3 linked regions of the Xenopus tropicalis genome follow. The protein of the gene in region 3 interacts with the protein of the main gene of each other region in a biochemical or structural test. Links are inferred from orthologs where the notes say so. Each region holds a gene or a part of one and is shown on either strand. Other genes may lie near its edges. The genes, in order: ube2s, ube2f and rnf7.

Evidence for each region.
Region 1: the proteins of rnf7 (region 3) and ube2s form a complex in vitro, tested with the Homo sapiens proteins (3 studies listed by BioGRID). The link is inferred for Xenopus tropicalis from reciprocal best matches to the Homo sapiens genes RNF7 and UBE2S.
Region 2: the proteins of rnf7 (region 3) and ube2f form a complex in vitro, tested with the Homo sapiens proteins (10 studies listed by BioGRID, with this or other methods). The link is inferred for Xenopus tropicalis from reciprocal best matches to the Homo sapiens genes RNF7 and UBE2F.

The regions. Positions count from the first base shown.
Region 1 is NC_030683.2:106,141,945-106,146,279, reverse strand, and holds the start of ube2s (ubiquitin-conjugating enzyme E2 S), read left to right. Parts: upstream 1-1,533; 5' UTR 1,534-1,591; coding exon 1,592-1,594; intron 1,595-2,320; coding exon 2,321-2,468; intron 2,469-4,310; coding exon 4,311-4,335. UniProt on the Homo sapiens protein: Accepts ubiquitin from the E1 complex and catalyzes its covalent attachment to other proteins. Catalyzes 'Lys-11'-linked polyubiquitination.
Region 2 is NC_030685.2:59,017,060-59,021,281, forward strand, and holds the start of ube2f (NEDD8-conjugating enzyme UBE2F), read left to right. Parts: upstream 1-1,400; 5' UTR 1,401-1,502; intron 1,503-4,222. UniProt on the Homo sapiens protein: Accepts the ubiquitin-like protein NEDD8 from the UBA3-NAE1 E1 complex and catalyzes its covalent attachment to other proteins. Together with the E3 ubiquitin ligase RNF7/RBX2, specifically neddylates cullin-5 (CUL5).
Region 3 is NC_030681.2:129,414,202-129,418,297, reverse strand, and holds the start of rnf7 (RING-box protein 2), read right to left. Parts: upstream 2,859-4,096; 5' UTR 2,820-2,858; coding exon 2,687-2,819; intron 167-2,686; coding exon 119-166; intron 1-118. UniProt on the Homo sapiens protein: Catalytic component of multiple cullin-5-RING E3 ubiquitin-protein ligase complexes (ECS complexes), which mediate the ubiquitination and subsequent proteasomal degradation of target proteins.

The sequences.
Region 1 (4,335 bases), on a different chromosome or scaffold from region 3:
GAAGGGGGCCAGTATCCTACTTGCTGTGGCTTGTACAGCAATGATGGGGCCAGTATCCTACATGCTGTGGCTTGTACAGCAATGAAGGGGGGCAGTATCCTGCTTGCTGTGGCTTGTACAGCAATGAGGGGGCCAGTATCCTACTTGCTGTGGCTTGTACAGCAATGAAGGGGGCCAGTATCCTACTTGCTGTGGCTTGTACAGCAATGATGGGGCCAGTATCCTACTTGCTGTGGCTTGTACAGCAATGAAGGGGGCCAGTATCCTGCTTGCTGTGGCTTGTACAGCAATGAGGGGGCCAGTATCCTACTTGCTGTGGCTTGTACAGCAATGAAGGGGGTCAGTATCCTACTTGCTGTGGCTTGTACAGCAATGAAGGGGGTCAGTATCCTACTTGCTGTGGCTTGTACAGCAATGAAGGGGGTCCGTATCCTACTTGCTGTGGCTTGTACAGCAATGAGGGGGCAAGTATCCTGCTTGCTGTGGCTTGTACACAAATACTCTTTGCAGCATTGCAGGCTACTGATTGTCCAGAATTTGCCTTCTGTGGGAGTGTGGCCAAGACACATGCAAGACTGTTCAGACAAGGTGATATCCGCTAGAAACTATAAGCAATTATATTAAATTCCATCCTTATTTCTTTTCTGGCCAGTTATTGCAGGCCTCCCTTACAACACAGACACCCCTGCCCTAGTCCAGCAGCCTGTCAGCTAAATACATGCCAATCACTTTCATTGAGACTCATGCGCAGAACAATTGAAATGTAGATCTGTCGGCCTCTATATCAATAACAAATATTCACTTGCTTCATTTGCAGACACACAGCTGTTTTTATTAGCAGTTTTATTTTGCTATTACTATTAAAAATAGCATTCGGCGGTAAGAACAGCAACAACCAGCCTTGTACACCTCGGCCGTCCTATAACCATTCCCCCTAGCAACCACCGGAAACCCTATGGCCCAGCGCTCTCACTTCCCCAGGAACAAAAACTAACGTACGCTTTACATAACTGCACCCAATCCAGCTACGTCACTTAGTTATATTCAAACTGTCCAATCGGTAACAGCCTAACAACCTCCCTCTTACGGCTGTCACTTAATGATTCTGCTACGTTACTGGTTAGCGCAAATGTCAAACACTTTCAATGGGGGCGGGTTCCATTTCCTAGCAGTTTATTGGTGTAAACACGTGACGCGCCACGTTTGCGATTGGAGGAGCTAGCGGAGTGGGAGTGAGGCGTGCCTACAAGCAGCCGAAGGTTATATGAAGGGGCGTCGGTAAGCAAGAGAGGCTTAGTGCCGGGGGAGTGAAAGGAAGGATAGGTGGCTTGGGTCTGGGAACTGGGGTGGGAACCAAAGAAGGAAATATAAAAAAAAATAAAGTAAAAAATAGAAGAAACTATAAGTGTTGACGCTTGTATGCAGGACTAGGCCCAGACCGTGTTATTCACCAACGTCATATCCTTTTTTTTTGTTTTTAATTGGGTAGAATTACAGTTAGGCCTGGACTGTTCGTACCCAGCCTCAGAGAATCAAACACCGTCACGGCGCTGAACAGTTCTCCTCCGTCCCCCGTTTGGCACAGAGAGGCATGGTAAGTATCGGGGCTTTCCTGCTCTTATGGGGATCGGGGGAGGCGCAGTTCCACTGTGTCAGGGCAGCATTGCTAATGTATATACCTAGATTGGCAGCATTGCTAATGTATATACCTAGATTGGCAGCATTGCTAATGTATATACCTAGATTGGCAGCATTGCTAATGTATATACCTAGATTGGCAGCATCATGTGCTGTACATTCAGCTTCTACCCCTCTGAGGGCTGACTGGGAAGGAAATACATTTCCTAATCTTCCCCGAAACCCTTTCTGACTTCTCCCATCCGTTTCCATCGCTGGCTTTGTACCCCATGAGTTTGGGGACTCTGTATGTGCATCTGAGCTGTCAGGGAGCTGTCATACTGGTACCAGGGAAATGTTTTGTATAATTGGGCCTGTAGGTTGGCCTGACTGGCTTAGGGAAATGGTAATATCTGTATATTTTCAATCTGATAATACATTTACTATTGCATCTGATTTTGTTGTTGCCTTGTCTGGCCCGTGATATCGCTACTGGTCTTATTTGGTTATCATACCCTACTCTAGATCTCCAGCAGTTCTTTATGATGAGCATAATGCTGGGTTTTGGGAGTTATGAATGAGAGGTATCAGCCTGTGATGCTGCTTTGATACCGGATTTCCTAGTCAGTTGGTACTAATTACTATAAAGCAACTAGATATGGTTATTGTTTAGTAATGATTAGTTATCTTTTTTTTCTTACAGAATTCAAACGTTGAAAACTTGCCCCCACACATCATTCGTCAGGTCTATAAAGAAGTCTCCACTCTGACATCTGACCCTCCAGAAGGAATAAAGATCATTCCAAATGAAGAAGATATAACTGATGTCCAAGTTAACATTGAAGGACCAGGTGAGGTATAGCTGAGTTGTAATTAGGAATGTATGGTTCAGTAGTGTTACTGCCAAAGATCTTCAATTTTTTGTCTCAAAACTGCACCGACCCTGGGTTCTTCTGTATGAAAACTTTGTCGCAACCCTCCGATTCTTCCTTCTTGCCCCGGGCCAGCACATGTGTAGTGCAGTTTACAAAGTCAGCTTTTAACTTTACTGCACATTCACACTGGTCACTTACAGAAGTACCTCAGGTCTGTGCAGTTTTCTGCTAACAGGATCTCTGGCCCAGGCTATCAGGTAAGTTTATATAATCACTGGAGGTGTTTCTAAAATTCCCCTCACAAGGTAAATATTTTTCACAGGCCTCTGGTAAAAGATCTCTTACAGGGTACCTATTGCCTACAAATTGTTCCCTCTATCCCAGTGGTGCATGTTAAGAGCCTGCACTCTGTATGGTGGAAACAATAGTATATTTCAAAAGAAAAAACCCTGTTGCACACCTAGAACTCCCTGTTGGGGTATAGACCTAATGAGCAAGTGCCCCCCGATAATACGTTATACACATAACAAGTTAGCTGGGGCGCTTCCTTATGCTCCATAAGGTTTCTGCCACCTCTAGGTGGTGGTGTAAGAATTCTAGGGCTGACTGAGGGCCCCCAACCCATCTTATGTTGGATTCATTTGCAAAGCAGGAGAGTTGTCTTCTAACAATGAGTAGCTCCTTATTGAAACTCTTGTAGTTCTCAGGTGACCTGTAGTTTTAAGCCTTAGTAAAATGGGTGTATACAAAAACCTATATTTGCATAGTGAGAGAAAATATTGCACTAAGCAACTTTCCAGTATACATTCATTACAGTTTTTCTTCTGGGACTAACCCCTAAAACAGGAGTCTGGTCTCTTCCAGGTACAATTTCTACTTCAGCTATCAATCAAAAAGTCATGTTCCATAGGCCTCAAAAGGGGGCAGTATACCCCATTTTTCAGAGCTTAATGGTGTGTGGGCTTCTTTTGGTTGCACTTGTATAAACAGGAAGAAATTTGACTTTACATTTTCCGTATATACTCGAGTATAAGCCAAGTTTTTCAGCACCCAAAATGTGTCAGGTGCCATGGGTCCCTCCAGACCCCCTTTGTGTGACCCCCTGCTGCCCCTGCCAACCTGACAGGCTCGAACAGGGGTCCTCAAGCTATGGCCCCCCTGCAGGCCATAGTTTGAGGACCCCTGCCATAAATAAATGAGTTAGTCAGTCTCCTCCTCCGTCTAAGCTAGGGCCTAGCTAGTACCTGTGTTGGCATTCTGCACTTTTTCACCTATGGTAGAAAATAATTCCCACCAGGTTTTCACTAAGCCCTATGGAAGGACAGATGCCCCATTATCACTATATCATGACAGTTTGCTTTAATTGTTAATACATAAGTGTTCTGGAGATATATTACTCGACAATCTGCAGCTGCCAACATTATATATTTATGTAGAATTCACAGGGGGTCACGCAGAGTTGTCCTTTTATTAACTGATTATTGAAACTTAGCAGTAGCTGCTACATTTCTCACCCTAGGCTTATACTCAAGTCAATAGGTTTTCCAGTTTTCTTAGGTAAAATTAAGTACCTCGGCTTATACTTGCTTATATATGGTAGTTTCAGATTTTGCCCTGTTAACTGCATAAAATGAAAGCCATAGATATTTAAATAGGCAAAAAGTATGTTCAGCATAGGCCCTAATTATTACATTAATGTTGGAAAGGGGTGTCTACTTGTAAATTTTAGCGACAACATTTTTTAATGACTTATCTATCTGTTCTGTAATGTGTATGTATTAATCTCCACTATTCAAATACATTCTAAATATTTTACAGAAGGCACTCCATATGCAGGAGGTAT
Region 2 (4,222 bases), on a different chromosome or scaffold from region 3:
CTTAAGGCTTGGTCAAACATTGGGAGCCAAAGCTCTGGTAGCCGCAACCATGGGTTGCAACTACCACGAAAAAAAAGTATTTTTCCTCTAATAAAAATATAACCAGCAAGCCCAACACGTGCATGCTGTGTCACATCCAACAAGATAGTCAGATTCAGTTGGAGCAACTTTTTTTTGCATAGAATTACATGAACTTTGATGGTGGTGTTCCACAATGGATCAGGTTAAATCTGACCCACAACATCTGATCAAAGGTACTCTTTGGGTTTAGCCCATATTTCCCCATTTTTGGATAGTTGTGGGTGACAGCTTGTGTGGTCTAACTCCTCTGTGAAACAGGGGAAACCCTTTCCAGCGCTAGCCTGCTAGACTACCTTTGGTCAATTTTACTAAATTAAGTATTGTTTGGTTCCACAATAGTGAAAAATCTGACCCTTGTTTACACAAAAAACACTGGGACTCTTCAATGCCTAAAACATTACTGTTAGTATATTTTACCCATTATATTCACCTTAAACAGTCCTCCCTGTATTGTGAAAAATCTGGTTTCACATAAAACTCTAAAAACCCTTGGATGACACTTTACAAAAAAAAAAGGACCTAAAAACTCACGATAACTTTTGGTCAATTTCAGTCATTGTATTCACCTAAAGTAGCCCTTTTTTGCCACAAATTTTGACTAAATCTACCCCTTGCTTTCACAAAAATACTGGGCCCCTGATTCCACTCTAAGAAAAGATCCTACTTTTGCTTCATTCACCCATTGTATTCTAAATTAGTCATTATTTTGTCTCCAAACTGAGATGAGAATCAGCTTTAGCACGTATTGTTGGCAACCAGGAAGAACATCTTTTTTTGGTTTTCTTGCATTGGTGGGAGCTCTGAGCAGAGATAAAAACAACTGAATGTTTGGTTATACATGGGCAGCAAATGCTATGGCAGGTAATGCTGGAAAGTATTCCCCTCTTTTGCTCCTGACACAAGTAGAAGTGTAAGTTGAAAACCCTGCGCCTAATAAAATACTAGGCGCAGATACTCTAGCTGCAGCTGGAACTCCACAGAATATTTTTCCTAGCATATGTGCAAATTCTAGATAGCAAAGAAAGCATGAATTACTTAAGGCTTGGTCAAACATTGGGAGCCAAAGCTCTGGTAGCAGCAACCGTGGGTTGCAACCACCACGAAAAAATGTATTTTTCCTCTAATAAAAATATAACGAGCAAGCCCAACACAACCTCACTAGTGCCCATAACGCACTACCCCACTCCGCGTTCCCTCACCACTCCCACTGGGCGGCTACGTGCGGCGTTCCAGCGCTTATATACGTGCTGTGTGACGTCATAAACTCGCGAGATGAGCGGTGTGACGTGCGGATTCGCTGTCCGGCAGGAGTTAAGGAGCTAGACCCTAACGGGGCTGAGGGACTTTTTAACAGCGATCCGGGACTGCGGGCTGTGATAAGAAAATCGGCACTGTCCCGGAAAAAGAGGGGCTGTTGGGCGGTATGTGGCAAGGCAGCAATTAGGGTGCCCAGAAGGTTGCCTGCCTTTCATATTTACAGCAGTCATTGATGTAATGTAATAATGTATCAATAATACTTAGTACTGAAGGAGTCACTGGTGCTGTTTTTTATACAGTAGTAGTCTGTACTGTACATCAGAGCAAGCTTCTCTTTAACCCATTCCTAACTATTTCTGTACTACAATCCCAGTATCTTCACACAACTAAATCTGTATGTTGGGGGCTTGGGATCATCATATTTGGGAACAACGTGTGGCCCCCCACATAAATAGCATTTATTTGCCAGTTTTTTACAGTCAGAGGCTACTTCTAGGCTGTACCCCTTCTGACCTGGGCTTGCTAATTGTGACCCCAGTTTAGAGTAACAGATGGAGCTTGCTGGGCATGCATAACTTCCAAATATCTGTCCCGCTGCTGATTGGGGGGGGGGGGGGGGGCTTAAGAAAGGGTTCTTGTAATAAAAAAAGGAATTTAAAGTGGGGCGCACAGCTGATTTTAAACCCATGTTTGAATCAGATTCTTTGTAAGTGCCACCCGTAAAGAAATAATATGAACAGGTGATTAAAGTTCAATAAAATGTAATACTATTATTTTTTAAAGGAAACATGTCAATCTAAGATATAATTCCAAATCCCATTTTTAGTCATGTTAGTCAAAGTTTACTTTTACTACATAAGTGTTGTCCAAATGCTTACATGGTGAGGCCAACATTTATTTATACAGCATGTTTAAGTCGCAGATTATATTGAAAAGATGATGTCATACAGTGAAGCCCCCCCCCCACCCCCCGAGAAGACTGGGGTCCTGTGGAAGGCCACATCAGACCCAAGACCTCCAGTTGGACTATATATTCAGTCTTGGAAGTTACAATCACAGCAAAAGGCAGGCACCAAGCATTGCATTGTTCAGAATTCTTGTTTATGCACCAGAATGGGGGACCTGACACCCATTCACAGGCTACACAATGATTGTCAGTGGAGGAAAGTGACATCTAGGAAGTGCAAAATGGAAAGTGAAAGTGATTGCTATGTCTGAGGCACAGAGGTGCGGAATCCAATATAGGACTGACAACTGAACTTTTTAAATACATTTGAAACAAGTATGGATGTTTTAATAAACAAACAAATTTGGGTTTCATAATTTGCAAAGGACTTTTATTATACAGCATGTTTTTTTTAAAACGCATCAGTTAATAGATCTTCTCCAGCGGAATCCTGCACTGATATCCATTTTTTTAAAGCACAAATTTTTTAATATTTAATTTTAAAATTTCGCATGGGGTTAGCCATATTCTTCGATTCCCAGGGTGCACAGTCATGTGACTTGTGCTCTGATAAACTTCAGTCACACTTTACTGCTGTGTTGCAAGTTGGAGTGATATCACCCCCCTCCCAGCAGTTGATCAGCAGAACAGTGGGAACGGAGCAAGATAGCAGCTCCCTGACACCTGTATTGCTAAAAGTGGTAGATCTCATAATAGCACTCCGTAGAAAATCCAAGTCCGGCTCATGACTCCTTCAGTTACATTGAAGTAGGAGAAATAATAGGTTACCTGAAAGCAGTTCTAATGTGTAGCGCTGGCTCCTTCTGAAAGTTCAGACTCAGGCACAACACACTGAGATGGCACCTACACGCCAATTAAAAAAATATGTTTTGCAATTTAGAAAGATAAAGTGCTTCATAAAATCATGGCAGAATCCCTTTAAATTCTTTGTTTGACCAACTAAACACCTCAACTCATCACTGAATTCTAGTATCCTAAAATGTAATCCCAGTGTCGGCTATGTCAGTCGTGCTGCACATCTTTTTGCATGCGTGCTGCTTCAAGTGCCAGATGGGCACGAAATGCATTAGGCCGGCATGTTATCTAAATACAAACTTTTTTACTTTTTCTAAACTTTTGGCCTGTATGTTGAAGCTTTTGTTGGAGTGGAAGTCCTTTTGTTTTTACAGATGATAATGTAACTATATTCCTAGTGTTGGTGATGTTATGAGGCAAAGTTTCGTAGTTCTATAAGGCCCGTAGATATGGAGACTGCTACCTCTGTGAAACCCTATATTCCTTAGACCAATCTTATATTTTATATATAGTTTCTTTACAGATAAGACCGTGCTACACATGGGACACTGTCAGTATGATATTCCAGTGTGTCTTAAAGGGGTTGTCAAAACAAGTCAAAAAGTTTATTTATGATTTGTTTCCCCCTGCTTTTTCACCTTGTTTTTCCTTGCTTTGCTTAGATCCAGCCAAACTGTAACATACGCTGGGTGATTTGTCTACATTTTTCTTCAAAGCCATTTTTTGTTAATACATTAGACATTCCTTAAAGGAGAAGGAAAGGCTAATAGAGTTTCTCAAGCTGCAGGCATACCTTCAGTTCTCTCAATAGTGCCCTTACGTCTCCCCATATTTCTCCTGTTCAGATGATCAGAAGCCTCATAGGAAAAAAAAAAGCTGAGCTCTGAGTTCCCATAATGCCTCGCTCCTGCACCAAGACCGGTGTAAATGCGCAGTTTGTAAGACAATGAGGAAGTGTCCTGCTGATTGGCTCAGATCCACATTCCTAAGGGGGGGGTGAGTTCTTAGCATTCTTGAGGGAGGGGGGAGCAGGAGAGGGGAGAGAGCTGTGAGTCTCTGACACAGGAAAACAAAGAGACAACAAATCTTTTGACAGTGGACTCAGTGCAGCGTTTCTGTGAG
Region 3 (4,096 bases):
CTATGAAGGAATGACCCCATGCACACAGTGACGTAAGCCCAGCATCTTAATCCACTCACTACTAGGTAGCCATGAACTCTCTCCCCGGGCTTAGAAATCCAGTCAGTTATTAACATACCCACACAGTCCTCCTGTTTGTTCTCAGCTTGGCAGCGCAGGCAGGCATCTAGAAAGGAAAACACACCTTCCATTAAAATATTTCCTCTTATAACCCTCTTCTGCCCAGCAGCAAAAAATAAATTATATAATGTGGCTAAACAGGAAGGAATTCCATGCAGAAGAGGCTTGAATCCAATCTGAGGTGCATGTGTGTATATAATCACAGACAGACCTATCTGACATGAGATTTTTCATTTCTACATAGACCAGGGTGAGGTAGGGATTTAATGCCAATGTAAATTAATGGGATAGTCGCAGGAACTGAATGGGTCCATGAGAGTCACAGGAAGACTAGTATGGATAAAAGAGGACGGAACTGTACCCAAACTGTTGTCACAAAGTAGAAAACATGGAACCGTCATTAACAGTATAGTACACTGTTTCTTTCAATGGGGCCCTAACTGATTATTATTCCTCCCCACCAAGCTTTAAATCTGCATTATGCATTCAGGTAGGGAGTGTCCAGCTGGTGTCTGTCACCCACACTCATTTGGTAAACAACTAGGATGGTAACAAGGGATTCATCTGACAAAGGCCTGTTCCCACTGCTCCCAATATCCTCCCCAGGAGAAGCTTAGCATTCCAAATGTTAGGCTTGCGTGACACTGCCCTCTCATAGAAATCCTTATTCTTACTTTACCAACAGTTCTTGTGCTGCCATTGCTTTCAGGAACAGTGTGGAGCTCAGAAGTGAGTGTTCCAACTGACGGATATGTGCTGTAATCTGCGCTCAGCATTGCCTGCGAGTATCCAGGCCCCACTACTTCACTTTCCCACCTACATCTCACCAGCACCAAAATCTCACAAACTAAATAGCAACAAAACAGACATCTTATGATGATGCCATGTTAAAAATCACTAAGTTTGGCAATATTTGTTGCTGGTGCTTCATTATACCCCCAGATCAGTAATGAGACTGAAGTGTGGCTTAAATAATAACTTCCACTAATCTGAAGGGGAGTCTGGATACTTCAAACCATATAGTGTTTGTTTGTGTATATTTCACAATATAGAGAACTAGATCCTTTATTAACATCAATGCTGTGGGACAAGTAGCCAACACTTTATGTTTTTTATCATTTATTTGAATAAATGATGTGACACAATGGGGTGTATGGGAATAAATGATGTGACACATTGGGGTGTATGGGAATAAATGATGTGACACATTGGGGTGTATGGGAATAAATGATGTGACACAATGGGGTGTATGGGAATAAATGATGTGACACAATGGGGTGTATGGGAATAAATGATGTGACACAATGGGGTGTATGGGAATAAATGATGTGACACAATGGGGTGTATGGGAATAAATGATGTGACACAATGGGGTGTATGGGAATAAATGATGTGACACAATGGGGTGTATGGGAATAAATGATGTGACACAATGGGGTGTATGGGAATAAATGATGTGACACATTGGGGTGTATGGGAATAAATGATGTGACACAATGGGGTGTATGGGAATAAATGATGTGACACATTGGGGTGTATGGGAATAAATGATGTGACACATTGGGGTGTATGGGAATAAATGATGTGACACAATGGGGTGTATGGGAATAAATGATGTGACACAATGGGGTGTATGGGAATAAATGATGTGACACAATGGGGTGTATGGGAATAAATGATGTGACACATTGGGGTGTATGGGAATAAATGATGTGACACAATGGGGTGTATGGGAATAAATGATGTGACACATTGGGGTGTATGGGAATAAATGATGTGACACATTGGGGTGTATGGGAATAAATAATGTGACACAATGGGGTGTATGGGAATAAATGATGTGACACAATGGGGTGTATGGGAATAAATGATGTGACACAATGGGGTGTATGGGAATAAATGATGTGACACAATGGGGTGTATGGGAATAAATGATGTGACACAATGGGGTGTATGGGAATAAATGATGTGACACAATGGGGTGTATGGGAATAAATGATGTGACACAATGGGGTGTATGGGAATAAATGATGTGACACAATGGGGTGTATGGGAATAAATGATGTGACACAATGGGGTGTATGGGAATAAATGATGTGACACAATGGGGTGTATGGGAATAAATGATGTGACACAATGGGGTGTATGGGCAGTAGTGTAACTGGTGGGCATGGGTGCAGTCCCACAGGGAATATCATGGCAAAATCCAAACAGATGGGGCAGATGGGGGGGTGAAAGCATTGGCACAGGGAGGGGGGGAAGGATGCTAAATAGCCAAGGGGCTATAGCAACATTACTGTCTATGGAGATTTGAGTCATCCAGGGGGGCATAAAAAGCTACTAGGAATGGGATGTCCCTCTCCCCCCAGGATGACAATACAGGAAGGGTAATGGTATATTCCATATACCGCCTGTGTGCGCCTGTCATTTCAGTAGGTGACAGTAACCCCCGGCCCCCACCAGAGACTGTATGGCCGATTCCCCAAGCAGGGCTGCTGCTGGCAGCGGAAGGTAATTCCCGCAACACGAAGCCTTCGCCCCAGTGCCAGCGAGCTGTATCTCTCACCCATGACCTGCACCCTGCAGATAGCGCACGTATCGCACTCCACATCCCAGCTCCACATCGCCACCGCGTTCCATTTCTTCAAGGAGAACATCTTGGGTCCGCTCGCTCCGTGCTCCTCCCGCAAAGCAGCCATACCGGCAGGGGGCGGCTCCTCAGATAGCCAATCCTTTCGATGTGCTGCGGTAATTGACCCAATGAGAGAAGAGCACAGGCTAAGCTAAGCCAATCGCTTTAGCAAAATATATCTGTAGAGCCAATCCCAGTACGCAAGACATAGGGTTACGCCCCTAGAGAAGCAACCAATAGCTATACTGGTTCTATTCGCCCGAAACAGTTAAGGGAAAGGCGCTGCGATTTGTTGCTGGGGCGGAGCATGGTGTTGCCTGATGTCAGTATTTGTGTTTAGTGACAAATATAATGAACATTAGGTTTATATTTAAAAGTGTTATCATTGATATATTCCTAGGTGAGGATGATTTTGCTCGTTTATCAACCCTGGGTGAATTTGCACATGGGCAGTAACCTATAGCAACCAATGACCAATTAGCTTCATTTCAGTCAGCTGCATGTAGAGTATTTATGTATGTATGTGTATATATATATATATATATATCTTTATTTATAAAGCGCTACTTATGTACGCAGCGCTGTACAGTAGAATACATTAATGTAAACAGGGTGTTAATAAGATAATAGATAAATACAAAGTATAACAATAAATACAGATAAATACAGCTGCAATAAGTTAAGAGTCAAAGACACAAGAGGATGGAGGTCCCTGCCCCGTAGAGCTTACAATCTATATGGGAGGGGTAACTTACAGACACAAATAGGCAAATATAAGTGCTGTAGGTCACAGTGGGTGACACTACAATATAAGTGCCAGTTCCCAGATCAGGTGCTGGGTGAGTCTAAAGTCTTTTAGTTTAGTCTTAAAAAGACTGGGGGAGGATTCTCTCCGGAGGACATCAGGGAGGGCATTCCAAATGTAAGGGGCAGAAAGGTTTAAGGCGGGAAACCGCAGTAGTAGTGGGGGGCGCAACCAAGCGATTGCTCTGCGAGGAACGAAGGAGTCGGCCAGGAACGTACGGAGACACAAGGGAAGAGATGTAGTGAGGAGCAGAGGAATAGAGGGCTTTGAAGGTTAGGAGGAGTTTGTAAAGGTGGCCATACACGAGGCGATTTCGCTCGTTGTGCGATGAACGATTATATCGACAAACGATCGTATGGCGATCGAGTTCCCATACGATATGCCATCCACGGGCAACGATAATTCGGGAAAGATTTTGTCGCATCATTATCGTAAAATACCTACGATCGTACATCTACGTACGATCGATGTCGTTGACTTCTGCTGCTGGCAATCGTGACATGCGCAGAGAACAATCGTTGAAAGACAAATGTCTGACA